Tamandua tetradactyla: one gene and its partners. The protein of the gene in region 4 purifies or fractionates together with the protein of the main gene of each other region. This does not show direct contact. Links are inferred from orthologs where the notes say so. Each region holds a gene or a part of one and is shown on either strand. Other genes may lie near its edges. The genes, in order: CNOT10, LARP1, CNOT2 and RC3H1.

Region 1 (7,342 bases), on a different chromosome or scaffold from region 4:
ATAAGGGCAAAGACACAAACGGACGTTTGCACACCAATGTTTATCGCAGCATTATTTACAGTTGCAAAGAGATGGAAACAGCCAAAATGTCCATCAACAGATGAGATAGAGGGAATATATGAAAAACCCACAGCTAATATCATCCTCAATGGGGAAAAATTGAAAACTTTCCCCCTAAGATCAGGAACAAGACAAGGATGTCCACTATCACCACTATTATTCAACATTGTGTTGGAGGTTCTAGCCAAAGCAATTAGACAAGAAAAAGAAATACAAGGCATCAAAATTGGAAAGGAAGAAGTAAAACTATCACTGTTTGCAGACGATATGATACTATACGTCGAAAACCCGGAAAAATCCACAACAAAACCACTAGAGCTAATAAATGAGTACAGCAAAGTAGCAGGTTACAAGATCAACATTCAAAAACCTGTAGCATTTGTATACACTAGTAATGAACAAGCTGAGGGGGAAATCAAGAAACGAATCCCATTTACAATTGCAACTAAAGAATAAAATACCTAGGAATAAATTTAACTAAAGAGACAAAAAACCTATATAAAGAAAACTACAAAAAACTGTTAAAAGAAATCACAGAAGACCTAAATAGATGGAAGGGCATACCATGTTCATGGATTGGAAGACTAAATATAGTTAAGATGTCAATCCTACCTAAATTGATTTACAGATTCAATGCAATACCAATCAAAATCCCAACAACTTATTTTTCAGAAATAGAGAAACCAATAAGCAAATTTATCTGGAAGGGCAGGGTGCCCAGAATTGCTAAAAACATCTTGAGGAAAAAAAACGAAGCTGGAGGTCTCGCGCTGCCTGACTTTAAGGCATATGATGAAGCCACAGTGGTCAAAACAGCATGGTATTGGCATAAAGATAGATATATCGACCAATGGAATCGAATAGAGTGCTCAGATATAGACCCTCTCATCTATGGACATTTGATCTTTGATAAGGCAGTCAAGCCAACTCACCTGGGACAGAACAGTCTCTTCAATAAATGGTTCCTAGAGAACTGGATATCCATATGCAAAAGAATGAAAGAAGACCCATATCTCACACCCTATACAAAAGTTAACTCAAAATGGATCAAAGATCTAAATGTTAGGTCCATACCATAAAACAGTTAGAGGAAAATGTAGGGAGATATCTTATGAAACTTACAATTGGAGGTGGTTTTATGGACCTTAAACCTAAAGCAAGAGCACTGAAGAAGGAAATAAATAAATGGGAGCTCCTCAAAATTAAACACTTTTGTGCATCAAAGAACTTCATCAAGAAAGTAGAAAGACAGCCTACACAATGGGAGACAATATTTGGAAATGACATATCAGATAAAGGTCTAGTATCCAGAATTTATAAAGAGATTGTTCATCTCAACAACAAAAAGACAGCCAACCCAATTACAAAATGGGAAAAAGACTTGAACAGACACCTCTCAGAAGAGGAAATACAAATGGCCAAAAGGCACATGAAGAGATGCTCAATGTCCCTGACCATTAGAGAAATGCAAATCAAAACCACAATGAGATATCATCTCACACCCACCAGAATGGCCATTATCAACAAAACAGAAAATGACAAGTGCTGGAGAGGATGCGGAGAAAGAGGCACACTTATCCACTGTTGGTGGGAATGTCAAATGGTGCAACCACTGTGGAAGGCAGTTTGGCGGTTCCTCAAAAAGCTGAATATAGAATTGCCATACGACCCAGCAATACCATTGCTAGGTATCTACTCAAAGGACTTAAGGGCAAAGACACAAACGGACATTTGCACACCAATGTTTATAGCAGCGTTATTTACAATTGCAAAGAGATGGAAACAGCCAAAATGTCCATCAACAGAAGAGTGGCTAAACAAACTGTGGTATATACATACGATGGAATATTATGCAGCTTTTAGACAGGATAAACTTATGAAGCATGTAATAACATGGATGGACCTAGAGAACATTATGCTGAGTGAGTCTAGCCAAAAACTAAAGGACAAATACTGTATGGTCCCACTTATGTGAACCGACATACGAGAATAAACTTGGAATATGTCACTGGTAACAGCGACCAGCAGGAGTTAGAAACAGGGTAAGATAATGGGTAATTGGAGCTGAAGGGATACAGAGTGTGCAACAGTACTAGATACAAAAACTCAAAAATGGACAGCACAATAATACCTAATTGTAAAGTAATCATGTTAAAACACTGAATGAAGCTGCATCTGAGCTATAGGTTTTTGTTTTTTTGTTTTTTTTACTATTATTATTTTATTTTTTTCTCTATATTAACATTCTATATCTTTTTCTGTTGTGTTGCTAGTTCTTCTAAACCGATGCAAATGTATTAAGAAACGATGATCATGCATCTATGTGATGATGTTAAGAATTACTGATTGCATATGTAGAATGGTATGATTTCTAAATGTTGGGTTAATTTCTTTTTTTCCGTTAATTAATAAAAAAAAAAAGACGAGTAGCTAAACAAAGTGTGGTATATACATACGATGGAATATTATACAGCTTTAAGACAGAATAAAGTTGTGAAGTATGTAACGACATGGATGGACCTTGAGAACATTATGTTGGTGAGACTAGCCAAAAACAAAAGGACAAATACTTATGGTCTCACTGATATGAACTGACATTAGTGAATAAACTTGGAATATTTCGTTGGTAACAGAGACCATCAGGAGATAGAAATAGGGTAAGATATTGGGTAATTGGAGCTGAAGGGATACAGACTGTGCACAGGACTGAATACAAAACTCAGAAATTGAGGGCACTATACTACCTAACTGTAATACAATTATGTTAAAACACTGAATGAAGCTGCATGTGAGAATGATAGAGGGAGGAGGGCTGGGGACATAAATGAAATCAGAAAGAACGATAGATGTTAAAGATTGAGATGGCATAATCTAGAAATGCCTAGAGTGTATAATAATATTGATGAAATGTACAAATTTTAAAATGTTTTTGCTTGAGGAAGAACAAAGGAATGTCATTATTGCACAGTGCTGCAAATACATGGTAATTAATATTTTAAAATGTCACCTTATATGTGAGACTAAAGCAAAAAAATGTTTTTTACAAAATTAAAAAAAAAATTAGGGAATGAACAACCCCAAATATATCTCTCCCTTTAGTCTCACACAGAAGTTGAAGTTTTAAAATATGGACAATATCATCGTTTACCCAGTCTTCTGATATACCTTAGTCCTATCCCGATCAGCTTCATTAGTATCTCTACTTGATGTCTGATCAATTTTTCAAATTTTTAAACAGTTCTTGTTGGTGGTACTGCTGACTTTAATAGCTTCAGAGCTCTAACTTTCAGGGAAAGACCGTGTTATATACAAACAGCTCAGTATCTCAGAATTTAGAATTAACAGTTACACTTCCTGAATATATGTGACAGCTGTAACAGCTTACAGTCTAGGACCTTGTACAGTAAGTTCCAACCTGATAACCCAGGCTTTCTACTTTAGTTCACAGAATTTTTATATTATAGTTAGTTGATAAGATTGAGGCATGATAATATTTGTCTTTTTGTCCCTGAATTTCATTCAGCGTACAGCTCTTCAGGTTCATTCACCTAGTTGCATGCCTCACAACTTCATTCCTTCTTGCTGCTACTCAGTAGTCTATTGTATGTGTACACCATAATTTCCCCTTCCATTCCTCATTCATTGTTCCCTTAGGCCACCTCTGTTCATTATGGATCACAAACAGTGCTGCCAGAAACACCAGTGTGCACATGTCCATTTGTGTCCCACACTCAGTTCCTCCAGGTATATATTAAGCAATGGAGTTTGAGGATCATATGGCAAACCTACCCCTAGCCTCCTGTAGAACCACCACACTGCCCTCCAAGCGGCTGCACCTCTCATTCCCTACCGATAGTGAATAAGTATATCTCTTTCTCTGCGTTTTCTCTGGCACTTGTTTCTCTCTGTTCATTTTTAAATAGTTTTATTCACACATCATACAATCCAACCTAAGTGAATAGATATGCCTTCACCACCATACTCTATCAGAAGACATTTCCTTTTCTTCCACAAAGAATCCATACCCCTTTCCCAATCCTCCCACCTGTTGACATTTAGTTTTGGCATCCTTGTTATTTAAAACTTTTGTCCACGAAGGCCTGGTAAGTGTTTTCTGCATTAGATTTCCTTAGGCGTTAACATTTCTTTTTTCTTTGGGAACTTTTTTTCACTCAAACATCATTGGAGCTGTATTTTGACAAGCACAGCTTGGAGGGAAGCTCATGTTCCAATCAGATATGTATTGTTAACATTCTGTTTTGGAATGTGTTAAGCTTTCAGTTAACTGGCTTCTTTCAGTTTTCAAAAAGCAGTGAGTGCATTTCTCTTCTACTTAGTTAAAACATAAAGGGAATTATTTGGTTAGAAATGAAGTCTGTTGGCTTAAAGAGTGTCAGAGTTTGTGGATCAAAGAGCTCTGTACGCCGAGAAAGTCAGCCATGTTCTTTAGGTCATAGAGGAAGAAAAGTCAAGCTTATGGATGAACAGTCCTTTACTCTTTCGGTTGGCAGTGGGACAAACAAAGACATATTGTGGAATTATGTGCAGATTCTATCTGGTAAGAACAGTTTAAAAACTGATTACAGAAATAATGTCTAATCCTTGCAGAAAACTTGAAAAGTGCAGAAAGATAAAAGGAAAGTAAAGATAGAAATCCCATTAAAGTCTATTTTAAAAAAACAAAATTTTCATCCTGCAGTAAAAGAATTTAGGTAAAACCATAGTTGGAGAATATGTAAAAAGATTTTTTATTGAGCTCAGATCTCTGAAATGTATGTTCTTTTCTTTTCTAGAGAGTATTAGACTTTTACAATTCCTAGGGGAATAATGAAAGCAGTGCCTACGTGAGCCACTATACTTCAACTTCTTGGTGAATTACTGGGTATTTCCTTCTGTCCTTTATTTATGTCATTATCTGACAATGGGCATATTTTGGAAGAAGCTGTAGAGATAACTTGAAGGCATACTAAGAATTTTGGGCATTTGATTTAAACTGATTATGCAAGTTCTTATGAGGGAAGATAAATTTTTTTAATTAGTTTCCTGTTTAGATCTTAAGAAACAAAAAAGTATTAATTTTCATTGTTAACACTTTATTATAATTTTATGTTTAGCTGAGGATTTTGCTTTCAACCTAAGATCATTATCTTGCTTTCTGAGATCCTGAAACTCTGTGTCATATTTTTACTGATTTTAAAGTAATTGTTTCTTACAGTTTATTGTCCACATGAAAGTTTTGCCAAAGGACTAGTGTGTAGATAGTTGGTAGTTGTGCAATTAAACTCGTTACTGGCTTTCAATAGAAAAAAAGTGTTCAACATTGTCTTTTTAAATTGTTCGTTAAACTATCAGTTTTTCCTCCTTCCCTTTAGTAGTGAATTCTTAGTGTTTATTTGACTATGCTGAGATGGAAATGGAATACTGATTTATCTGCTAACTTTAATTAGCAGAAATAAACATTTCTAATTTAAAAAAAAGCCTTTTGTAGGGCAGATCTTAAGGCTTAGATAAGTTCTCTTAAGTAGAAGTTATATATTTAGTATAGTGATGATTCTCAAAAGGGTTTCTGATCTTCAAGGAGTTTCATAGGGCCTAAAAAACTGTTCCATAATCAAGCCACTTTAAATTAATTTGTTAATTTGTATGTTTAAAGTGCAGAAGTCAGTACATTAAAAAACATAACTGCAAGAATCCTTATTTCTGGCAAAAGAAAAGGGGGGAGAGAATTAATGTTTATTTAGCATTTCCAATAAAGGGCAGGTAGATAGCCAATGAAAGACTAGACTAAAGATGTGATTTCAAAGCTTGTGCTCTTAATTATATCATGTTGCCTTCTTTAGAAAAGGAAGTTGGAAATCTTTAGTGACTTCTCACAAGTGCCAGGCAAGTGTTTCCCAAACTTAACTTGCTGAGAGTGTTGGTTCTTTGAGATGCTTCTGGAATACAGGTTTATAAATAGTTATGAAAAAATGCCATTAGCATACATACAGTGTGATGAATTCTCATACACCAACCACACCCATGTAATCAGCACTCAAATTAAGAACCAAACCATTACTAGTACCCCAGAAGCCCTCTGCACGCATCTTTTGGTCACTAGCCACCCGAAGATAAATACTCGCCTAATTTCTAAACTCATTTATATTAATTTTGAGCAGATATTCTTTAAAGAGTAATCCATGTTTGTTATGATAATTTAAACAAACATTCAATACATTGTTTTAGTCAGTGGTTTGGATTCTTAGACTTTTATACCAACAGCACAAGCAACAAAAGAAAAAAAAATTGGATTACATCAAAATTAAAAACTTTGCATCAAAGGATATCATCAAGAAAGTGAAAAGGCAACCTACAGAATGGGAGAAAATATTTAGAAACCATATATCTAATAAGGGTTTAATATCCAGAATATATATAAAGAACTCTTAAAACTCAACAGCAACAGCAAAGACAATACAACTTAAAAATGAGCAAAGGACATGAATAGACAGTTCTCCAAAGAAGATGTGCAAATGGCCAATAAACACATGAAAAGATGCTCAACATCATTAATCATTAGGGAAATGCAAATCAAAACTGCAGTGATATGCTGCTTCACACCCACTGGGATGGATTTTTTTTTTTTTTTTTAGTAGAAAACAGCAATTGTCAGTGAAGATATAGAGAAATTGGAACCCTTGTACCTTGTTGGTGGAAATGTAAAATGGTACAACTATTGTGGAAAACAGTTAGGCAATTCAAAATGTTAAACAGAGAACTACAAAATGACCTGACAATCTCACTTCTAGATATATACCCCCAAAAATAGAAAGCAGGGACTCACAACAGATATTTGTACACTGATATTCATAGAGACATTATTCACAAATGTAGAAAGATGGAAGCAACCCAAGTTCCCGTCAACCAATGAAAGGATAAACAAAATACATACAGTAGGACATTATATAACCATAAAAAGAGATGAAGTTCTGATCTTTACTACAGTGTTAACCTTGAAGACCTATTGAGTGACAGAAGCCCGGCACAAAAGAACAAATGTTGTATGATTTTACTTATGTCAAATAATTTGAATATGCAAACTTTTAGAGACAGAAATTAGAGGTTACCAGTAGATTAGATTAGAGGTCAACCAATGTATGTTGATTGGGGAATGGGGGGTTAATGCTTAAAGGGTATAGAATGTCTGTCTGGGTGACAGGAAAGTTTAGGTGGTGGATGGAGATGATGATAGTGCAACATTGAATGTAATTAACACCATTGAGTTGTATATTTACAGGTGGGT
Region 2 (7,709 bases), on a different chromosome or scaffold from region 4:
AGATTATTAAAGTAGTACCATTAACTATATTAGGTGTATTTTTCCCCATATATCACCTTATTATCAACACTTTGTGTTAGTGTCCTACATTAGTTATAATTCATAAAATAATATTCTTATAATTGTACTATTAACTAGAGTCCATTATCTACAACAGGGTCCACTGTGTTACACAGTCATATGTTTTATCTTTTACTTTTATTGTAGTAACATAGATGACCTAAAGTTTCCCCTTTTAACCACACTGACATCTTTACTTCAGTGTTGTTAATTACACTCACTGTGATGTGCTATCATCACCACCATCCATTACCAAAACTTTACAATCAACCCAAATGAAATTTTGAACAAATTAAGTAAATCCCCATTCTGTACCCCAATCCATCCCCCAGTAACCTATATTCTAGATTTTAACTCTGAGTTTGCTTATATATAGTTAGTTTATATTAGTGAGACCATACAATATTTGTCCATTTGTGTCTGGCTTATTTTACTCAGCATAATGTCCTGAAGGTTCATCCTGTTGTCACATGCATCAGGACTTCATTCCTTTTTATGACTGGGTAATATTCCCTTGTATATAAAGACTACTTTCTGATTATCCATTCATCAGTTAATGGGCACTTGGGTTGCTTCCATCTTTTGGCAACTGTGAATAATGCCCTTATGAACATTGGTGTGCAAATGTGCTTGAGTCCCTACTTTCAATTTTTCTGGGTATATACCTAGTAGCACCGTTGCTGAATCCTGTGATGTATTTTAAGCTCTGGGCACAAGCTAGGCACCATCCATTATCAAAACCTTACAATCAACCCAAATAGAAATTTTGAACACCTTCTGCTTAAAGCAGATCTTGTTTGATCTCTTTTATCTGGCCCAAGGTCACATATTGCTTAATTATTTTAAATAACCCTCAGAGTTTACTTCTGGAGAGACAGGGTTCAACTTTTTTCATATCTTCCCCAGGCCTGAGTATTTAATAAGCTTCCCATAAACACTTGTGGATATGGCAATGGAGGGAAGGGAGGCAGGGGGAAGTGTGTGGTATGGTAGGTAACAGCAAGGCCTAAGAGGTTAGGTGAAAAAGGTTACCTTCTTTTATGATAGCAGCTCCAGGGCCTACCACAGTGCCTGGCACATAGTAGGAGCTCAGTAGATATTTGCGGAAAGAATTAAGGCCTATTTCATTGTGTTAGAGTGACAATTAAATGAGAAATGAACATTGAATATTTCTCATAGAACATAAATGTACTAATTGCTCAATAAAAGTAGCTGCTCTACTTCTTTGGGTAGTATTTATATCTAGAAATAAATATATGGATATAGAATGCCATCATGGGACAGGAATCAAACGATCAATTAACAACAAATTCCAATTCCATCATTTTATGAAGGAAAAACTACCAGATTTAGTATCATGTGACTTGGGTGTGAGACCTAGCTCTGCCATAAACTTGTTCCTTGGCTAAGGAACTTCACTTAACTTCAATTTCCTGCAAAACAGAGAATGAATATCATTAAGATTCCTTCTACTAGTTCTAACAGCCTCTAAATCTAAGATGTAGTCTCATGCAGGTCTCTTACTATCTCTGGTCCCAGTTTACCCACCTGTAAAATGGCACAGTCTCCCTTTACTTTCTACAAGCAGGGCCTGGTGGTGATGTTTGGATACTACTCTGACTGCTGGGTGACATGAACCCATTACTCGTCCACATAAACCTTGGTCCTCTCACAAGTTGTATGAGGGTACATTTCCCCTCTACCTCCAGTTACAGAAATACAGAAAAGAAGATCAACAATGATGATTTTGTCCTTTATTACAAAGTCTGAAGAGCATCAAATGTGAATAACTTTTTAAAGGAATATTTATCAATGAATAAAATTTAAAAAGTGCATTCCAGTGGCAATGCACAATAATTTACCCTCTGATTAAGGGTATATATGATGCAATTAAGAAGAATTCATTGAGATCCCTTTAATCATTATTTTCCTCGGTACCTCTTTTTGAAGTACTGGCCTTAATCTATATAATTTACACAGCACTTTCGTTAATGTTGTCTCACTTGTTTCCTCACAAAAGTCAAGAGGGTGATGCAAGTCAGACATTTTTTTATCCACATTTTTCCACCAAGAAAGGGTACCCAGGGAGGTATACAGCTGGCCAGTGCTGAGGCTGAGTTCTGGAAAAGCTGGGACCAGACATCAGATTGCCTAGGTATCCCCACCAGCACTTGCCTACAAGAGCCCCACTACCAGTCTTGTGTGGTGGGGCAGTTCCAAGAGTCTTTTCCAATACATTCTCCAGCAGATTACGCATTCTAATCCTTGTTTAGGAGGTGACTACCATTCCAGGCTGTCATGTCTTGAGTAGGTAGGATCAAGACAGCTGAACCACCCTCAGAATGCATAGGCTAGAACTTCACTAAGTGAAGAGTGGGGGCATCTGGTGCAGTGACACCCAGGGGTCTTGTTACACATACAGATTCTGGGTCCAAACCCAGACCATGCCTGATTCCAAAGACTTTGGAATCTATTTTCAGGAAAGTCTTATCACCCACACTAGAGTAGCCCATCTATTTTTAGTTAAATATTTTTATTGATACATCTTCATACACATACATTCCATTAAGTGGTATACAATCAATGGCTCACGATATCATCACATAGTCGTGTATTCATCATGATCATTTTTAGAACATTTGCATCATTCCAAAAAAAGAAAAAGGAAAAAGAAAAAACTAATACCTCCCATACCCCTTACCTCTCCGTTTCATTGACCACTAGTATTTCCATCTACCCGTTCATTTTACCCCTTATCACCTACTCTTTCTTATCCATATTTTTTTACTCATCTGTCCATATGCTGGATAAAAGGAGCTTTAGACACCAGGCTTTCACAATCACACAGTCACATTGTAAAAGTTATATCTTTATACAGTCGTCTTCAAGAATCAAGGCTACTGGAACACGGCTTAACAGTTTCAGGTACTTCCCTCCACCCACCCCAATATACCATCAACTAAAAAGAGGTATCTATATAATGCTTAAGAATGATCTCCAAGATAACCTCTCCACTGTGTTTGAAATTTCTCAGCCACAGAAACTATTTTGTCTCATTTCTCTCTTCCCTCTTTTGGTCAAGGAGGCTTTCTCAGTCCCATGATGCTGGGTCCGGTTCATCCCAGGAGTTCTCTTCCATGTTGCCAGGGATATTTACACCCCTGGAAGTCATGCCCCAGGTAGCGGGGGGAATAGCCCATCTATTTTAGCTATTACTGAGGTTGACTGTCTTCACAGATACTATATGAGAACTTTTTGTATCACTTAAGTTTGTTTACTGTCTCTTTCCCCACCTTAGAATGTAAGCTCCATGAGGGCAGGGACATTATTAACCTGATTGATTGCCAAACCCGTTTCCTGCTCTATGCAGGCTCCACAGTGGGATATCAGTAAATATTATGGAATTGAATGTGCACTAAAGTTTGAAACCACAGTCATAGACCAGTTCTTTGTTCTACAATGGAGAATCTAAGACCCACGTAGAGGTAAACGACTGTCAGAGTTGGTAAAGGAGGTGGTTCTGGCCAGGATAAAATCTCAGATCTCGGGGTCCCAATCAGGCGTTGGTTCAACTCTGCCCAAATCATTACTTTAAAAAAAAAAACAACCGAAATCCACTTGAAAGAAAAGACATTTCCTGCTCATAAAGAATCAGTTTTAGGGGGCCTAGCAGGGGTGGAGGCTGTTAGTATTCCGCTCCCACTTCCTAGGAGCCCGCTGCCCTCACGAGTTAAGGGCCACCTTCCGGGCCCCAAGTCGAACCCGTCCCAGGAGACGAGTCCAGGACTGGGTCCGTTGGGGAGGAGCCGAGCGCGCTCCGCGGAGCTGAGGGCGGCTCGCCCAAGGTCACCCAGGCAGGTCTGGAGAGACTAGGCTCGAAGGGCACCGGGAAGGAGGCCGCGTCTTCAGGCGGATGCGGACCCCTCTCCAGCTGATCCTGGAGGGCGGGGAGTGGTGGTGGTGGTGGTTGTGCCCTTAATGGCTCCTTCTCAGGATTCCGGCATCTAGTTTAGAGAGAGATCAGGCCCGGACGGCCGCGTGGCCCGTCCCCATGTGCTCCACCTGCGGCTGCTCTCACGCGCTGGCCCTTTAAGACACCTCCCCCTTTTTCACCCTCATGTTTCCTGCCCCCATACCGCCCTCCCTGCCGAATTGCATCAGGCACGTGCTCGCCCCCGTCCAGTCTGAGCACCCCCCGCCCCAAAGCCCGGGAGGTGCTCAGAGGAATCTGAGGCGAGGGGAGGGGCGAGGGGCGGGGCCGCGAAGCCGTGCGTGCGCGTTCCCGCTACCTCCGCCTGCCCGCCGCCAAGCGCCAGCCTCGGCGGGCGCGCCCCCGTAGCTCCATCCCCGCCCCTTGCCCGCCTCGTCTCGAGGCGCGCGCCCGCCCGCCGCCTGCCGCGGATCGCGTGGTCTGTTCGGCTCGCCGCGCCTCTCCCCCGTCCGTCCATATTGCTGCAGCCCCCGAGCCGGGAAGCCCGGGCCGCCCCGGGGGCGGGGGGGAGGGAGGGACAGGACGAGAAGCCTGCCGGGTTCGGGGTGGGGGCGCCTTACGAGGAACGGGCGGGGGGGGACGCGCGCCGAGGAGGCCTGGACCGCAGAGTGGGGGGCCCTCCTCCCCCCACCCCCCCCGCCCCGCCAGCAGGCCTCGGATCTACGGCGGCTGCATCCGACCCGGAGGGTGCCGGCACCTAGCGTGAGCCCCGACACTTCTCTGCAGGGACTGGGGCCCAGCGTCCCGAAGAAAGGCGTCGCGGGCGCTCTGCGAGCCAAGTTCGAGGCGGGGGAGGCGGCCTCGGGCGCGCCCGGCTTCTCCGGGGGGGCGGGCGCGCAGATGGCCACTCAGGTGGAGCCGCTGCTGCCGGGGGGAGCCCCGCTCTTGCAGGCCGAAGAGCACGGGGGGCTGGTGAGGAAGAAGCCGCCGCCGCAGCAGCCCGAGGGCAAGGGCGAGCCCGGGGTGAACGACGTCGGAGGGGGGGAGTCGGACGGCGGAGCCCGGAGACCCCGGCCGCCCTGCGCCAAGCCGCACAAGGAGGGCACTGGGCAGCAGGAGCGCGAGAGCCCGCGACCGCCTCAGCCGCCCGGCGCCGAGGGTCCGGCCGTCAGCGACGGGGAGGAGGGCGGCGGCGAGCTGGGCGCTAGCGGAGGAGCGGGCGGCGGCGGGCGCCGAGACTTCGTGGAGGCCCCTCCGCCCAAGGTGAACCCGTGGACTAAGAACGCGTTGCCGCCAGCCCTGGCCACCGTGAACGGACAGTCCCCGCCAGGTGGGTCTCCCTGTCTGTTATCCTGGGTCCGGGTGGCCTCTTCCGGGGATATGGGCGTCCCCTCCCCCAGCGGCCTTCAGGGCCCCGGGGTCCGCCGCGGATCGTGGTGACTCGGTGATTTTTAAAAATTGCCTCCTGGCCCGTTCGGGTGGCCGTGCCCTTCCCCCACCACGCACTGGGGAACCTACCCTGCCAGAGGGCTCGGCCTCCGGGAAGCCACGGCCACCGCCTGGGCGGCAGCGGTTAGTGGGCAACGGCGTGGTCCAGGCCTACTGCGCCGGGAGAGGGTGGGCGCTGGTTTCGGTGAACAGGGCTCTCTGCTCCACCGCGTGTTGGTGTAAGAGACCGTTTCTAGTTTAAATCTCCCCTTCCTCGAGAAGCCCCTCATCCTTCCACCTCACCCTCCCCGTTTTGGTAGCGTTGCAACAGTCCCCATGTTGTAAATGTTTAATGAGTCCATGTCATGAGCAGCAAAGCGCCTGGCGATGAGTTCATACCAACCACAAGGTCTCGGGATTTAAAAGTTAACAAATATTGCTCTCGAGTAGATGATATTAGGCTGTCGAATCGCCATCTGGAGACGGGTTAAGGGGTCAGCTACAGGGAGAATGGGGAGAGGAGGAAACCCAACGTGTCATTGAATTCGGTGATTTCTCTCCCGGATCTCTGGGGTCTTCCGTCTTGAGAGGGAACCCGACGGCAACTGGGGGTCGGGGGGATTCTGTTAGGGGGTTGGCGGAAAATGTGAGGCGAGTGAGGGGGCATGTGGAGACACGAGGGGTGTGTGGCGGCGGGGGAGGGAGTGGCCGGGCTGGGCGGGCGGTGACAGTTGGGCCTCTGCGTTGGGCGCCCGGCGCGGAGCTCGGGATGAAAGCTGGTGCGGACGGCTGGCGCACCGCGGCCCTTAGTGTGCGTGTGCGCGAGTGTGATTGCGCGTCCCCCATTCCCGGCATTCCTCCGCAGCTGGGACAACGTGGGGCCTCCCCGCGCGGGGAGCTGCATGTGACCACAGACCTGCGCTCCCTCAGCCATCCTTACCTCCCCATCCCTTTTTTTTTGTTTTGTTTTGTTGTGCTTTGGACCCGGTCCTTTAAAGGGGGGCGGGATTTACAGGAAATCCCAGCAGGGCCGTGTCAGGGTAGGGAGAGAACAAGAGCAGTGCAGAATATGGAGTCTTTTCTTGGTCTCCGTTTGCCCGGAATTGGTCTTCCACTTGGAGGGGGTACTCTTACCCCTTCGGGTGCGTGAGGTCACGGTGGATCTCTCATTGGTTTTGGATCCTCTGACGTGGGCCAGTGTTAAAACCCCGCTTTTAGTTAGAATGTTGGCTTGTAGCCATAGGCCTAGTGCTTTTTCAGAACTACCCTTCTGCAGTCCCTGGTTGAGGCTGACTGGTCTAAAACCATCAAAATGGGAATGTGGAAGGGGGAGAGTTTAATGCTTTCACGTTAAAGGGAGTAAAATCACATTCTTAGTCCTAAGGAAACCACAATAGCTAATACTGAAAACGGCATGTTGCGATTTTTATTTCTTTTAAGGTTGCTTCCTTTGGCGGAGGGGACTTTTTACTAATAGTGCCTCAGACCGTGTTCTCTTCCTGCTGCCCCCCACTTCTCCCCTTTCCATTCGAGAACCCTCTTATGCAAAGAGCAGTGCTGAAACCTCCATTTTCTTGCAAATACCTCCCTGATCCACCCACAAAGGGAGGGAAAGCAACTTTAAAACACACTTTGGTCCTTCCCTCTCTTTAAACTCAAAGGGGTATAATCATCCCCAGGAGAGAACACTCCTCAGAAGTTTAAATGGGGCTTCTTACCCTGGCTACTGCAGCTTAGCTAATAGTGAACCTGCCTTGTGGGTTTTAAATCAGCCATGACATCAGGTGGTATTGGGTGCCTGAGTTGGCATTTTGTGCAAGTCCAGGGGCCCTTCATAGGGTGCGTCACTGGGTTATTGATCGTGGGAAGAAGACAGCTTGGCTGGCATGTCTCCTTGCTCTCTGAACGGAGAAGTAGACTTGTCTTAAGTACTTAAAGCAAAAATCTGAGTGAAAGGAAATTTGCCCTGTTACTGTCTTTCTGGAAGCTTAAGGGTAGAGGGTGTCAACTCATTAATTTGAACGTTTGGAGTAGTCTTTGATAGATAACTCAGAATAAATCCAGTAACTTCTTTGTTTTGGCCTGTTAAGGCCTAGATGCTTTTTGAGTGCAAAGTCTTGGAATTGGATAGTCTGTCTGCTGGTTAGGTGGTCGCCCTTTCTCTAGAGTGTCTGGTGCTTTAAGGCTCTTTTCTAACCCTGATTTTATTTGCAGCCTGGACAAGTTTAAATGTGACACCTGTGGAGTGGCTGTGTGGTCTTGTGAATTTTTGTTTTTTGCGGTGCATACA
Region 3 (7,971 bases), on a different chromosome or scaffold from region 4:
ATCCAGGTCATCCCTAATAAAATAGACAATAGTATATAAATCAACAAGCTATATCAGTATAGCATGTTTGTGATAAGAGATGAGTTTTTCCAAGAGAAATACAAGGATTTTATTAGAAAAACTAATACAAGAAACAGAAAACATATATTTATATTGAGGAAAGTTTCAGTAAACAAAACCAAGGTATAAATTCAAAAATAATTTTTGAAATGTAAAACCTTAATTTCATTGTTTTTGCAGTACTTTTCCTTTTAATAAACATCAACTTAGTAGAGCTCTTTCCAAAATATCATAATGAATTCAATTCCTATAAGTACCACAGGTAGAAATCATCCCTAGTAAGAACAATCACCTGTATTATCAATCTGAATGACTACAATCATACCACTAGGTAGGCCCCTTGATGTGCAATTATTAATATTGTATATAATTCTATTCAAATATTACAGTGCAACTCAGATTGACTCTGCCTCTAAAACTTCCCTACCTAGTATTTCGGTTTCTTTGTGTTACAAAATCCACTAGAGTTTCAGGTAACAAATAAAATCATAAATATTCAGTAGTATCTTTCTTCTAAGGAAGACTGTATCAATGTTTGCATAAGTTGTCTTCAAATGCCTATTCAGGCAGGCACATGTGATAAAATTTGCTTTTAAATATATGATCATAACTAAGTTTTCTACAGTTAAATATTTTTTAAGACATTAAAAAATACTATTATCATTTAACACTGCTTTTCAAAGAACAAAAAAATTATAAACTAAGTTTCTACTAATCTATTAATATCTATTCATTATTTCATATATACAACGGAAACGTTTTAAAATTTTTCTGTATTATCAGAAAATCTTAAGCAAATTTGTCACTAAAAAGGGCAAAACTAACTTCCCACAGCATCTGAAAAATGTTACAATTGTTTTTCAAAATACAATTACTTGGAATGTCAATGTCTACTGAAGAGAGAAAAAACAAAACAAATGGATCAGAAGCATTTCTAATGAAATGTCACCATAAATCTTAAGTATTGATTTACTTTTGAACAAAGAGAATTTCCAGGTTATAACTACTAAAGCATCTCTGAAAAATGAAAAGAGTAAATCAAACATCTAAAGTTATAAAGTATTAAAACAAGTTTCTCATTCTTTTAGGTAAGCATGTCATTCTGAGTCTTATTTTAGCTTCAAGATTAGGTACTCAAACAGAGAGGGATACAGTTACTCACACTTATACATTAGGCCTTCATTTTTCCGTCATATTAATTTAATTTGCAACGGAAGTGTTATAGAAATTGAAAATTAAAAAAAAGTTTCATTCTTTGGTTAGTTAAATATACAGGCAACTCTCATTCCCTAACAGTATCAGATTAGGCCACAGAAATCTCTACTATATACTTACTGAACAAAATCTGCCAACAAATGGTTTTTTAATTAACTTACTTATGTTGATGCAGGATTATTTAGGATGCAAAAAATGTAAAATACAGTTTCTCACTTCCTGTCAAAATAGCAAAGCAGTCACAGAAATCACTAAAATGAAAGACTCTCAGGAAAAAAATGTGGGGAGACCACCTTTTTAAAATTAACTGAGCATATCACAAAGTCAAGTAAAAAATGGATGGAGTGTAAGGAATTTTGTCTTTTTAAAGCATTTTACTTTCCTTTTCCTTTAGCATTTAATATTACAAAAGAACTGCAAACTTCAGAGGAATTCAACCTACAAAGTTTACTAATGATTAAGAAACATTGCAAATGAAAGAGATGTGAATGTAGATTTTGAAACGTTAACTACTTCAGTGCGGTGATTCTCAATCAGTCCTTTATATATCTGGGAAAAGCCACTTTCCAAAATTGCAAAAGAAGTGTTGTAGAATATACCAAGTATTCCCAAACAACGCAACAAAAAATTGATATGTAAGTAGATAACTTTCAAATTTCTATCTCGCCCGCCCACCTCATACTTTATTATTCCCGCTTATGTTGCGTCAAAGGCAAATTATGAGTTGCACTTGTGATTAGAGCGCTAGAAATTGCTAATATTAAACATTACAGGAAATACGTTCAACTCTGAAATCCAAATTCAAGTCTGGCCTCCCTCATGAACAGCTTTTGTAAGCTCAGTACTTCCTACCATTAGCCAAAAATCTTAAGGCTTGATATCAGGGTATCGAATTATTAGGAATCGTTCAGATGATTACGAATGGAGTAGGATCAACTGACCAAGATATGAAAATGAAACAGAATGTGTTTGCACCGCGTCTTCTGGATGTTAAAAAGTGAAGCTGCATCCTAGGATTCGAAATTGATGTTTAGGTTCCTTCCGAGAGTGGTACCCGTATGTAACACTGTTATGGTAAGAACACCGTACCCACAGTTCTGAAATAAATACAAATTCTAAAATCTAGAAAACGCTTTCGTTAAAGAAAAATTATAATTCGCATTCGCTATGGACCATAGTTAGCAAGAATTAGAGGCTATCTCCTAGACGGACCACAGAGATCAAGTAAGAACTACGAGGGCCTCTGCTAGCCCACTCATTTCTTCCGTGAAACTTTTAAGTTAGAGCCAAAGCAGCAAGAGGTAAAGAGGCTCCGGCGGAAGTGAAAACCTAAGGCTAGCAACTTCACAGACAGAAGCGTCTCGGGTTCCTCCGCCGCCCAAGGACCAATCGGACTCAGTTCCTACACCACCACCGAAGATTCACCCTCCGGGTGCGGTGGGAGAAGCAGCATCACAGTTGCACTCCCCCTCCACCAACTATAGCCTTCGGTATCCCAAGGTCTGGAGACGCCTGAGGCCCGTTAGCCAATCCAGTGCCCCCCACCTTACACCAAACACACACACATATAGAAACACACACAAGTTGCGGGTGATATGCATGTAGCGAGATAATGTGAGGATCCGGAGACCGCAGCAGCTACTAGGAAGGTGGTAGCGCTGTTTAAAATGGGCCCGGGGTCCTCAGCCGCCGTCTGTTCTTCCCCAGGAAGCAGCGCGGCGGCGGCGGGAGCCTGGGGAAGCCAAATCTAGGGGAAGCCCCGCCATCCGCGGGCGGGACCCAGCCTTCAGCTCCCAAGCTGCCGCTGCAGCGGCCCAAGCAGAGCGACGCTTTACGTCCCATCCACCCCCCCACCATACACACCCCCTCCCTCCCTCCACCACCGCCACCCCCCCTCCCCGCCCGCTCCGCTCTCCCTCTCGATTGGAGCCGAGACAAAAGCAAAGGGAAGCTGCAGGCCGGGACGCTGCCCGCGGACCCCGGGCGCGACCGGACCGGCCCCGAGGCATTCCCCCGCCTTGCGAGGGCCCCGAATCCGCCGTCCCCGCCGCGTGCCCCGCTGCCAGACTTCCGAAAATTTGCCAAAAACTCACCGCATGAATTTTCTTGTCCCGCGGATCCAAGATGGCGACGTATCCACCGCAGAGGCTGCTGGGAGCAAGACCTTTACCCTCTGACCCCCGCCGTGACCCCCGTGCTCCGGCTTCCCTCAAAGCGGCGGCGGCGGCGGCTGGAGGTGGGAGCTACGTTTGCCGAATGGATCGGGTTTAGGCGGTGGGCAGACAGCTTCCCGTAGGCATGAGAGGGTTTGAGAAAAGGCTCTTCATTTCTCCACCGCTCTCTCTGTGGCCTCCGCTGTTTCTGTCCCCACACACTGGGTAGCTTGTCACTCGTCCGCGGCGGTTACGACGAGCGGGAGCCACTGCGGCCACTACTGTCCCCCTAGGGCCTGGTTGCTTCGGACTGGGCCGTGGTCCTTGGTTCGAGGAATGGTGAGGTGGCGTCAGTCAGCCCTCTCTGGGGATGCGGAGCGTGTTTGTGTTTGGGTAGGATTCCTCGTTCTCCCACGTCCACCTTGAGTGGTGCCCTTCCTGTCTCCCGTCACCTGAAGCAAACCTGATCGCTGTCCACATGTCCTTCCTCAGCCCCCGCAGCCTCCGGTGCTTTTGCACGCACTTCCAGGCACCGGCAGCACGTCACCGTCACCTCCTGAGAAGTGAGTTCCACTTTGCCGAAACCATTGCTATTTTCTACTCACTGCCCTTCCTTTATTTTTATTTTTATTTTTTTCTAAATCTAGGGGGAGGAGTTTGGGCGGGAGCAGTTTTTTGTTTGTTTGCTTGTTTTAAAGCACTGTTTTGTGAGTTTGCGCTAGCTGAGCTTGGTATTTACTGCTTCTCTAGCCCCCACTTCCCATGTAAACTTGAGTGATTGGCCGGGCCATCAGCAAGGCATTTGAAATTATAGTGGCTTTGGTGAGAACTGCAGGGGATTAGTCTGCTTTCCAGAAAAATAATCGTAGCTCAAAGTGAGCTTTCTTTGCAATAGTAAATCTTCTCTCTTTATTCCTTTATAATCCAATTTAAAATTTGTCATTGAACAGTAAAGGATTCTCTGTCAGTAAAAAATAACAAGAAAAATAAGCTTACTATAAAATAAAGGTAATTGTCATGCTTTGAAGTGCAAGGTATTTTGATTTTTCAGTAGATACTGTATGAATTTATTTAACCTCCAAATGATGCTGTTGTAGCCAGAGAGTGTTTTGCCCAGTTAGTCTTTCCTTTCATTAAATATTCTGCTTCGTTGTGCTTTTTGCTTCAGGAATATTCAGAGAGGAGCAACACACATTTCTTTATGTTCTTACTTTCCTCCCGTTTTCCCCAGCAGTTCCTTCCGGCCTCTTCTGGTTTCTCTTCCTCTGATGTTGGCCTCTACCACGGTAAGCTGACTGGATATGCCTCCATATCAAGTATGTATATGTATATGATAGTACTCAGCATTACTGAGCCTTCTAATCTCGCTATTAACAATTTGAAAGTATAACTATTAGTAATTTGGAATCATAAGATAGATGATGAAAATTGGGCGCATGCTTCTAACCATATAGTAAACACCGAGTATTGTTTGCTATGTTAAGCTATTAATTTGTTTTACATATAGAACTCTGTTAAGGCCAAATGGTGTACCTTGTTCTCACTGTTCCTATATTTACTTAGAAGAGCACAAGTCTTAAATAGTATAAACGTTAGTAAAATTGGAGAAATCATTTCCAAACAGGACAGGTCTGATTTGAGGATTTTGTTACCTTGGGTTGTTTACTGGAAGAGGTAAATGGAACAGCAAACATTTTCATGAATTTAAGTATCTAGGTTAGGACTGTTAGGAGAAAATACACTGATACTATTGCTTACTTAATACTGTTTATTTAGGATGACTTCACTTTTAGCCTTGGTGAAGAAGAGTTTTTTAATTGTCCTATTGCTTGTGTCCGATTGATTACAAATTTGTAAAATGTCTTTAATGCATACCTTAGAGGGTGATTCTAAGTATTAAATGTGTCAACATTTGTTAAGGGCTTAGTATATTTATGGTTTGCTAGTAAGCAGTCAGTAAATGGTACATATAAAAAATTGTCCTTCTGCGTTAACAAGTTTATTGCTAATATTTAACAAATTTGCCCTTCTGTTCTCTTTAATAGATTTTTCTTGTACTTGAAAAATAGTCTGTACTTATAGATATGTATTTTGTATATTTTCAAAATACATGTAAGGTAGATTCCTCTACATTTTATAGGAAAACTACTGATGTAGGCTGAGGGAAAAAAATACCTTATCTACTGTGCTGGTTTGAAAGGGTGTATGTATATCCCATTTCATAAAGGTAGAATAATCCCTATTCAATACTGTATGTTTGAAACTAATCAGATTATCTCCTTAGAGATGTAGTTTAATCAAGAGTGGTTGTTAAGCTGAATTAGATGATGACATGTTTCCACCCATTTGGGTGGGTCTTGAGAAGTTTCTGGAGTCCTATAAAAGAGAAAACATTTTGGAGAATGAAGAGGATTTGGAGAGAGCAGAAGATGCTGCAGCACTACGAAGTAGAGAATCCATGAGCCAACGACCTTTGGAGATGGAGAAGGAAAACGCCTCCTGGGGAGCTTCATGAACCTGGAAGCCAGGAGAGAAAGCTAGCAGATGACACCATGTTTGCCATGTGCCCTTCCAGCTGAGAGAGAAACCCTGACTGTGTTCGCCATGTGCCTTCTCGCTTGAGAGAGAAACCCTGAACTTCATCAGCCTTCTTGAGTCAAGGTATCTTGTCCTGGATACCTTAGATTGGACATTTCTATAGATTTGTTTTAATTGGGACATCTCTTTGGCCTTAGAATTATAAACTTGCAGCTTATTAAATTCCCCTTCTTAAAAGCCATTCTGTTTCTTTCATATTGCATCCCAGCAGCTAGCAAACTAGAACATGTACCTTATATAACTATTGTAGAAAAGAGTCTTCCATATTTTAAAAGGGGTGGACCAATACTGAAAATTTCACTATAACAAGGGATAGAAAGAACAGATATCTCAATTTAATATGTCTAAAACAGAACATTTGGGTGGGCCACAGTGGCTCAGCAGGTAGAGTTCTCACCTGCCATGCCGGAAAACCAGTTCGTTTCCTGGTGCCTGCTCATGCAAAAAAAAACGGGAACATTTGACTTCCTCTTGTTTATTCCCTAAACCTTTTTCTCACCTGGTCTTTCCCATTTCCATAAAACACTCTAGTGTAAAACTAGGAATCTTCTGTGATTCCTCTTGTCCCTCACATTCAAACTCTGACCTCATCAGCCAGTATCAGCTCTTAATTACAAATATATTCTGAATTTAGCTACTTTTCTTCACCTCCAATCCCATCATCCTGTCTGAGCCACTGTCATTTCTTGCTGGACCACTGCAATATCCACACTATCTCTTTGCTTCCACTTTGCCCCTAATTCCTTCAAATCATTCTCTACATAGCCAGAGTAATCAGTTTCATTAGGTTATGTCACTCTTTTCATTAGAACCCTTCAGTGGCTTTCCTGTGCACATAGAATAAAATCCAAATTCTTTACCATGGCCCTCAAGTCTGCATGATATGGCTTCTACCTACCACTCCAACTTCATCTTGTTCTCCTGCCTTTCCATTGCCTCCTTTTTATTTCTGTCTGGTACTAAGCACTTTCCAATCTGTAGCAGAGACTTTTAGTTCCCTGAAATTGCTCCATTTGTTTCATGGTAATGGATATAGTCCAGAATGAAGACTGTATTTCCATCTTTCCTTGTAGCCATGAGATGGTTCTGGCCAATGGAATATAAGCAGAAGTGTCATGTAGCACCCTTTCAAAACCATCCTTAAAAATATATCCGGTGCACACCTTTAGCCCTTGTTTTCTTTTCCTCTTCGTATATTTTGCACCCTGAAATGAAGATGTGATTGCCTGTAATTCTAGTTTCCATGTATGGCCATATGCAAATTCATCCATCCTAGGGATGGTAGTACCTTAAACTGGTAGACCTGGAACCTTGAGGACTTTGTGCATCAGAGCACTATACTAGCTCTGCACACCTTACATCCAGATTTTGATGTGAAAAAAATAAACTTCTATTAAAGCCAGGTTTTTAGTTTCCTGGCTGCTAAAGCAAAAAACGTGCAATGGGTTTGCTTAAACAATGGATATTTATTGCTTGTATTTTTAAGAATAAAAGTCTTGATTTTGAAGTCATCAAGGCAGTGCTTTCTCCCAGAAGACTGGGCATTCTGGGGCTGGCTGCTGGCAATCCTTAGTCCTTAGCTTTTCTGTCACTAGGCACTGCACCTGGCGTTTTCTCCTGGTTTCTTCTCTGTTTGGCCACTCCCTGTGACTTTCTCTCTGTGATCTTCCCTATAAGGCCCTCAGTAACAGGATTAAGACCCATCCTGATTCAGTTGAACCACCCCTTAACTCATCAAAAGGTACTTTTTACAAGGGTTCACACCTACAAGAATAGGTTAAGTTTAAGAATATAGTTTTCTGGAGTACATAACACCAAGCCACCATAGCCAGGTTTTTGGGTCTCTTGTCTTCAGTGGAACCTAATCTTAACCACTGTTTCAGGGCTTTTGCTTGTGCAATTTTTTTTTCTACCTGCCATTTGCTTCTCTGTTTTTATATGGCTA
Region 4 (7,600 bases):
TATGAAAGTCAGCACTAACCCCATACAGCAACTGTTAAAAGAGCTGTAAAGGAGATATGAGTGAAGCTTTATGTATAATTATTTTGTAAATCCACGGCTTCTATAGTAAAAACAAACAAACCATGGATCCTTTTCCCAAAAGAATAAGCATGTGTATTTATTTAAACAAGGTTTCATATAATCTCTAAGGTTAATGGTTGCCTTGATCAATGCCAAAATTTTACTATAGTTTTGAAATGACAAGAATATTTTCAAAATCTTTTAGGGTTTCAGTGGTGGGTTTGTATAAGACAATCTGAGGAGAGGGAAAAAACAGTAAAACTTTAGGAGTCAGGAACTTGGCTTCAATCCCAACTATGCCATTAGCAACTTTGCACGACTTTGAGCAAAATTATTTTCCTTGTTTTTGCCTTTGTTCTCCACATCATATAAAATGGAATAGTTGAAAATGCTTGGGCTTTAGTATCAGGTAGATAATGAGTTTGTTCTGTTCTGTCTTGGCTACTTATTTATTAATTGTATGACCTTGAGCAAGTTTTTTGAATGTTATTTTGTTACTCTAAAAATAAGGAAAAAACCTTTGGGTTTTTAAGGATTAAACAAAACATGTTTCATAAAGTTTAGTAAGACTTGTTACTGGTAAAGATCAATGAATGTGAGTTATCTTGAAAAATTAGGGTAGAACTAGATGTTCTTTAAGACACCTTTTACTAATTAAATTTTATGATTCTATTTTAAACACTTTTTGTTACAACAGAATAATTTGGGAAGTTTTTTGTAATAGCATTGACTTAAAATCATGTGGGAAAGCAGTAAGATATTTTATGTCTCTAAGACTGATGTTGACTATATTTCCTGCTTGTTTTCCATATTCCATAGTGCTGGATGTAAAGTAAATACTCAGATACTTGTTGCTTAATTTTAAGATTTCATGAAAGAATACTGTAGGTTAGGATTTTTTAATCTGGAATTTATGAATACCCTAGGGGTCTAGGAATAGATTTTCATAGTTCTATCAACTCTTTGAAATGATATGCAATACTTATAAGCCTTCCCTGGCCATTTAAACTCTAAAACAACCTCCAAATCACTCTCAGTTTCATCACTCTATTTCAGTTCTCTTCAAAACATTTCCATTATCTATAAAATTATATTTTTCTTGCCCACATTTTGTTTACTCAGTGCCTAGTTTTGATAAGATAAGAATAGGCACCAAATCTGTCTTGTCCACCAAGAAACCTCACATCAATTTGGGAATTAAAAGTATTGCATATGATTCCAAAGAGTAGATAGAACTATGAAAATCTATTCCTAGACCCCTAGGGTATTCATAAACTCCAGATTAAAAAATCCTAACCTACAGTATTCTTTGGGTGAATCTGAATGATAAAAGGAGACTCTTCAATCCCAAGTGGGCAGGGACCTAAGATGAAAACAAGCTTCACCTGAGTAATTGGAAAGTAGTAGGTATGAAAGGAACAAGCATTAGAAGAAGGTGGAGAGATACAAATTTCAGGTTGTAACATTAAAGGCTTTGTAAACTAGAGTAAGAAATCTGGATTTTATTTTAAATATAATGGAATTTATTTCAGGGTGTTTAACTAGAGAATGCTGAGAAAAGGAGGTCCAAGACAGAACTTGTGACATCTCCAGCATTTAGAAGTATAAGAAATCAGAAATAAAGCCAGTAAAGTAAGTGGCTTTGGCACTTTCAAGAAGGAGGGAGGTGTTCATCTACTTTATATCTTACTGTACAGATAACTAAGATTAGACCAATGACCTGACCATTAGATTTGGCAAAAAGTTTGCCAATAACTATTGTGACATTGGTTTATATAAACGCTAGTACACAGATAACAGTAGTAACTACCTTTTATAGTTTTGCCCTGTGTAAGGCATTTAGCATATGTGGCATATAGCTCTATAAATAGTAAAACATATTAAGGCCATTCTAGTAAAAAGATGGGAACAGTTAGCTCTCCTTTGCAAAGAGTCGGATTCTTCAAAAACATTAATACAGACAGTCCTAATCTATAGAAAGTTTCCTGTGGCTTATTCTTTATTGACTTAATGAGCTTCAGCATGCATTTTCTGACTTAATATCCTTCTGTCATTCAGATAATTATTCTTCTAAAATACTTCTCAGTTCTTTATTTTGAAATATGCTACAATTCCAGACACAACTGTAGCATTTTACTATGCCAATTAAGTGATTAGATATTGTACTTTGTTAGCATTTCAGATGACAGTTTCAATATATTAAATAGAAATAATATAATATAATCCTGCTTGTACCTACTCATAATCTACGTTTAGATGCATTTTGTTATAAGTATTTATAATGCTTTTTTTATATTTCTTTATTTAAAAAAAACAGTATGGAACGCTTCACGAATTTGCGTGTCATCCTTGCGCAGGGGCCATGCTAATCTTCTCTGTATCGTTCCAATTTTAGTATATGTGCTGCCGAAGGGAGCACTTATAATGCTTTTTTATAGAAATAAAAATTTGGGCAATTTCTTAAACTTTCTTTTTATTGCAAAGGCTATCTGAACACATATGCAGATAACTTTAATTTTAGATCCAGAACCTGAAATTTTGGAACTGTTTACTAGGTTATTAAAAGTTTTTCCATTGTCCATTCATCTGATCACATGCTTTGCAAAAGCCTAAACAAAGCTGAGGCTTACTAGACTCTCAACTCCATGAAGGTAGATAACCGTGACTGTCATTTCACTGTATCCACCACAATTCACACAGTCTGGCACATTGTAGTACTTATTAAATATTTGTTGATAAATATTGTGGATGGCTAAAATGTTTTGCATACCTGAAGGAAACTGTTCTCTCATCAATATTTGACTTACATTCAAGTTTAAATTATTTCAATAAAACATGAATTAAATGTAATGTTTGAAGAACAAAACCTGAAGATGATTTACTTTTCTAGTTAATTACAGCTTGAATAAGATTTCATCTTTGTAAGCAGACTTTCCTGAGCGTATTCATATCATTAGTAATTTGTAATGCTGTAGTACTTTATTATCGCTCTGGGCATCATTTCTCATTTTTAAAGCGCTATAGTCATAGTAGGTTTAGTAGGCATTGTAAAGAAAATTTCTGATAGATACAAGTGATTTAGCTTTTATCCACCACTGAAAATGGAAGGTAGAAAAATGGAACCTTCTTGACCAAAGGGGGAAGATAAATGAAGCAAATTAAAGTTTCTGTGGCTGAGAGATTTCAAATAGAGTCAAGAGGTCATTCTAGAAGTTATTCTGACGTAGTATATAGATATCCCTTTTGAGTTTTTGTATTGGAGTAGCTAGAGGGAAATACCTGAAACTGTTGAACTGTAATCCAATATCTTTGATTCTTGAAGAGGATTGAGTAACTAAAGAGCTTTTAAGGTATGAACATGTGAGGGTGAAAACTTGTGACTGACATTCCCTTTATCCAGTGAATAGACAGATGAGTAAGAAACAAATGAAAAAGACGAATAAGTAAACAATAGGGAGGGTATGGGATGTTTTGGTGTTCTTTTTTACTTTTATTTTTATTCTTTATTGTTTTTGGAGTAATGAAAATGTTCCAAAAATTGATCATAATGATGAATGCACAGGTTTGTGATGATACTATGGAGCACTGATTATACACATTAGATGATCGTATCTCAATTAAAAAAATCATTGAAGAAAAAAATCTTAAGTGTTTACCAAAAAAAGAAAGAATAATAAAGTGAAATTTGATTATACATGGGTTCTAGATAATTGGATTCTAACCAATTATAATTATTCTACCATTTTTAAATTTGGGGGTTAAAAAATCTTTTGAAATAAATAATTTTAACTGTGTTCTAATAGCATATTTCAGCAACAGGTATAGGCTGTACCGGGGGCTTTTAAAAGAGGCATTGTTCAACCAGTTTGTAAACTCTTAAAAATACCTTTAGAAAGTCTCTTTTTATCTTATTACCCCCACCTAATTTGATAAATATTTTAGGGGAGTTTTTATGCTGGGCCAGTTTAAAAAGAGCAGCAACTCTTTATTGTAAGATACAAAAGGTGCACATAAATGTAGAGATTGATGAATTTCCACAGCTGAACACACCCATGTAATCAGTATCTAGACCAAGAAACAGAACATTATTAGACCCCTAGAAAAGACTAATTTTTAAATATTAAAAAAAAAAACACCGAAACTTCTATAAACTGAGCAAATTAGGTCCTGGATGACTTTATTACTAAGTATCACTTTAGGCAAGTTTTTTCATCTATTCTCGTGTCTAAAATGAGGGGATTAGACTCAAATTATTATGACTCTAATTCTGTGAAAGTGAAAAAGAATATATTATGATAGAAATACAGTATGTGAAGGTTATAGGGTAATATTGGACTTGTGATCTTTATCAAAAGTTTATTGAAAGAAAGGCATTCTCAGTTGTTTTTCTTTATTTTTCAGGTTATATTTCACACTATGTGCTGACTGTATCTACAGAAGATATTTAAAAAAAAAAGACAAACTTTTCAAAGATTTTGATTCCAGTGGAATCTTTGCTTTAGATCTTTTGGTGTATGTTAGTGAATTGTAACTCCAGAAGCAATGCCTGTACAAGCTCCACAATGGACGGATTTCCTTTCCTGCCCAATTTGCACTCAGACTTTCGACGAAACAATTCGAAAGCCTATCAGTTTGGGTTGTGGCCATACTGTCTGCAAGATGTGCCTGAATAAACTACACCGCAAGGCTTGCCCATTTGACCAGACCACTATCAATACAGACATTGAGCTCCTCCCAGTGAACTCGGCACTACTACAGCTGGTGGGTGCTCAGGTAAGATGGGTGTCATAACACTTTTTTAGTTCTGTGTGTGTGTGTGTGTGTGTTTCTCCTGAGAGAAATCTTTTGAATTGCAATTGGGTAAAATAATCTTCTGTTTAAGTAGATGTAAATAGATATAAATCCTTTATTTCCGTGATATTAGGAGCATATTTTGTTCAGTGTTTTTCATGATATACATTGTATCTGGTGATCAGACTTTTCAATAATCCTAACTATTCAGATCACTAGAGAAATCTAAGAGGTAGGTAGTAAGAATCACTTCTCTTTGAGAAACATGATTCACAAAATTACTGTACTTTACTCATTCAGAGAGGTGAAGTTGCTTCAAACATATTTACTTGATAGACACAGAAATGAAAGATAAGGAAGAGACAAAAAACAGTAAAACACAAATTTTGGGAACCGTTTATTTAACAGTTAAAAAAGAATATCCCTAAGTATCTAAATATAAAAGTCTAGTAATTCTGAAGGTAATAATTTGAATGCAGGTTTTTGAAAGCCAAATACACTTCACTTAGATAATCCTCACTACTAAATTTGAACAGTGTAATTATGAAGTCCCATATATTTTCCATAAATTATTTTCTGGATAAACAAGCTAGAACTTTGGATCTAGCCACACTGATCTTTCTAGAGTACTCTTCCCGTAAGCTTCTGAAAAGCTGGTGAAGTTGATATTGTATATGCTTGGAGGTAATGAGAATTGTTGGAGAATAGCTTATTCAGAGGGTTTTTTATTTACAAGCCTGTTTTGATGTTGTCATCAGTAATGCTACAAAAAATATTTATAAAATGGGAAAGTGTGATTGATTCTTAATATTTCTCCATCCATACTTAATTATTCATTTCATAAGCATTTTCTCATTTTTATTTGAAAATTTTTCCTGTATCACACTTCGGAAGTATTTGTTGGGGATAGCTGTTTTGGAAATGTAACATTCTTAATAACAATAAGGCTTACTTTCTTCCTTAAAGTTGTCTCAGAATGAACTGATTTTTTTTCCAAAATAAAAACTTTTCATAGCTTACTGAAATAGCTAATGTCAATGAAATTTGAGGATTAGAAATGTTAATGCCTGCATAGCCTCTATGCTGTACATTCCTTGCGATCAAAGATAATGTAATGTGATCAGTGTATCCCCAGACTCTTAACATGGTATTTAGAATGTAGCAAAAACTGAGTGTGGATGACTTCAAATATGTCTGATTTAGGAGTTGACCTCCATATGACTAAATCTAGAACGTCAATTCAACCAATTTTATCCAAATCTTCCAGTAGTGTGTAAAAGCCAGGTGGGGTAGGGGGCAAAATTTTCTCAGGAAAAGAAATTTTCTCAGTAGGAAAAGAATGAAACGTCATATTGCTAAACAGTACATGTAGTTACAGTGTTTATTTTAACAAATTGAATTTATATGTAATTTTTCTAGTAGGCCATCTTTTGAAAAGTCTCTTCTGAGGATTCATGGGTTAGGTTAGTAGGATGGGAAAATGTTTCACTTCATATTTGAAATATATTTAAAACCTTAGTTCATTTCTTTTTCTTTCTTTGTGTCCTTTTTTTTAATTGCACAAGCAGTATAAAGAAAATGAATATTCTCCTTCTGTTTCCAAATTAGCCAGTGTTACCACATTTATCTTTCCAGATAAATAAAATGTGTAGCTTCGTTTCTGTAGTACTTTGCTCATACTCTTTTTCCTTCAGCTTACTTTTTGTCCACTGAATTTATCCAGGAAGGCTTTCCATGTCAGCATTACCTTCTTTATTTGGCAGCAGCCTATTCCAAAGTATGAATTTGTTGTGGTTTAAGTAAATATTCCTCTTTTATTATATTTTGATTGTGAGTTTTCTTTTTCCTATTACAAGCAGTATTGCAGTGAGATTTCTTAATAAAAATTTTTTTTAAGATTAGTATCTAAAAATAAAATTTTGGGGTAAAAGAGTATACATATTTTAAATTGTAAAAGATATTGCAAATAGCCCTCATAAAAAGATGTTCCACTCTAAATAACCATCAATAACTTATGAGAGCCCATTGCCTGACATTAAATATTCATTTTTAAAAATGTCTTTCCCTCCACTATAATGAGTGAAAATGTCTTATTTTGCTTTTCTCTTTTATTTTTACTTTGTGTCATCACGTGTTTTCACATATATCTATTAGATGCTTGTCTTTTGTTATTGATTTGTTGTTCTTTATATTTCTAAATTTTATCTTTTTGGTTTTTTTATATCCCAGTTTGTTTATTTTGTTGTCTTCTATATTACTTGAAATCAACTTTTTCTCTTAGAGAACACATTTGAACATTGAGTTTTTTATAACCTTTTTTATTGTGAAATGTATATACAAAAAAGCAATAAATTTCAAAGTGCACTTTAACGAGCAGTTATAGAACAAATTTCAAATTTGGTATGGGATACAGTTCTACAATTCCAGGTTTTTCCTTCTAGCTGCTCCTAGACACTGGAGAGTAAAAAGAAATACCAATATAATGATTCGGTAGTCCTACTCATTTGTTAAATCTTATTCTCTCTTCTAACTCCTCCTTCTCCTTTGGTCCTTCCCTTAATCTTGAGAGATAGATAATTGGGTTGTGCCCATTTTAATTTTTTTTTTTTTTTTTTTGCATTGAAAGGGGTTATTGATAATATGGGATTGGGGCATGGAGCTGGCTCATGTTCTTGGAGAGACTGGCACCTTTGGGTTTCAGGACTTATCCATCTGAAGATTTTAGGTTTCTGAAAAGTAAACGTAGTGC

The links.
Region 1: the proteins of RC3H1 (region 4) and CNOT10 purify together in Homo sapiens (affinity purification with mass spectrometry, with the first as the bait; 3 studies listed by BioGRID). This does not show direct contact. The link is inferred for Tamandua tetradactyla from reciprocal best matches to the Homo sapiens genes RC3H1 and CNOT10.
Region 2: the proteins of RC3H1 (region 4) and LARP1 purify together in Homo sapiens (affinity purification with mass spectrometry, with the first as the bait; 3 studies listed by BioGRID). This does not show direct contact. The link is inferred for Tamandua tetradactyla from reciprocal best matches to the Homo sapiens genes RC3H1 and LARP1.
Region 3: the proteins of RC3H1 (region 4) and CNOT2 purify together in Homo sapiens (affinity purification with mass spectrometry, with the first as the bait; 3 studies listed by BioGRID). This does not show direct contact. The link is inferred for Tamandua tetradactyla from reciprocal best matches to the Homo sapiens genes RC3H1 and CNOT2.

Annotation. Positions count from the first base shown.
Region 1 is NC_135341.1:55,329,603-55,336,944, reverse strand, and holds the start of CNOT10 (CCR4-NOT transcription complex subunit 10), read left to right. Parts: upstream 1-4,331; 5' UTR 4,332-4,428; coding exon 4,429-4,618; intron 4,619-7,342. UniProt on the Homo sapiens protein: Component of the CCR4-NOT complex which is one of the major cellular mRNA deadenylases and is linked to various cellular processes including bulk mRNA degradation, miRNA-mediated repression, translational repression during translational initiation and general transcription regulation.
Region 2 is NC_135346.1:35,716,964-35,724,672, forward strand, and holds the start of LARP1 (la-related protein 1), read left to right. Parts: upstream 1-4,693; 5' UTR 4,694-4,891; coding exon 4,892-5,321; intron 5,322-7,709. UniProt on the Homo sapiens protein: RNA-binding protein that regulates the translation of specific target mRNA species downstream of the mTORC1 complex, in function of growth signals and nutrient availability.
Region 3 is NC_135333.1:138,798,866-138,806,836, reverse strand, and holds the start of CNOT2 (CCR4-NOT transcription complex subunit 2), read right to left. Parts: upstream 3,010-7,971; 5' UTR 2,285-3,009; coding exon 2,217-2,284; intron 1-2,216. UniProt on the Homo sapiens protein: Component of the CCR4-NOT complex which is one of the major cellular mRNA deadenylases and is linked to various cellular processes including bulk mRNA degradation, miRNA-mediated repression, translational repression during translational initiation and general transcription regulation.
Region 4 is NC_135330.1:27,979,734-27,987,333, reverse strand, and holds the start of RC3H1 (roquin-1), read left to right. Parts: upstream 1-4,600; 5' UTR 4,601-4,602; coding exon 4,603-4,833; intron 4,834-7,600. UniProt on the Homo sapiens protein: Post-transcriptional repressor of mRNAs containing a conserved stem loop motif, called constitutive decay element (CDE), which is often located in the 3'-UTR, as in HMGXB3, ICOS, IER3, NFKBID, NFKBIZ, PPP1R10, TNF, TNFRSF4 and in many more mRNAs.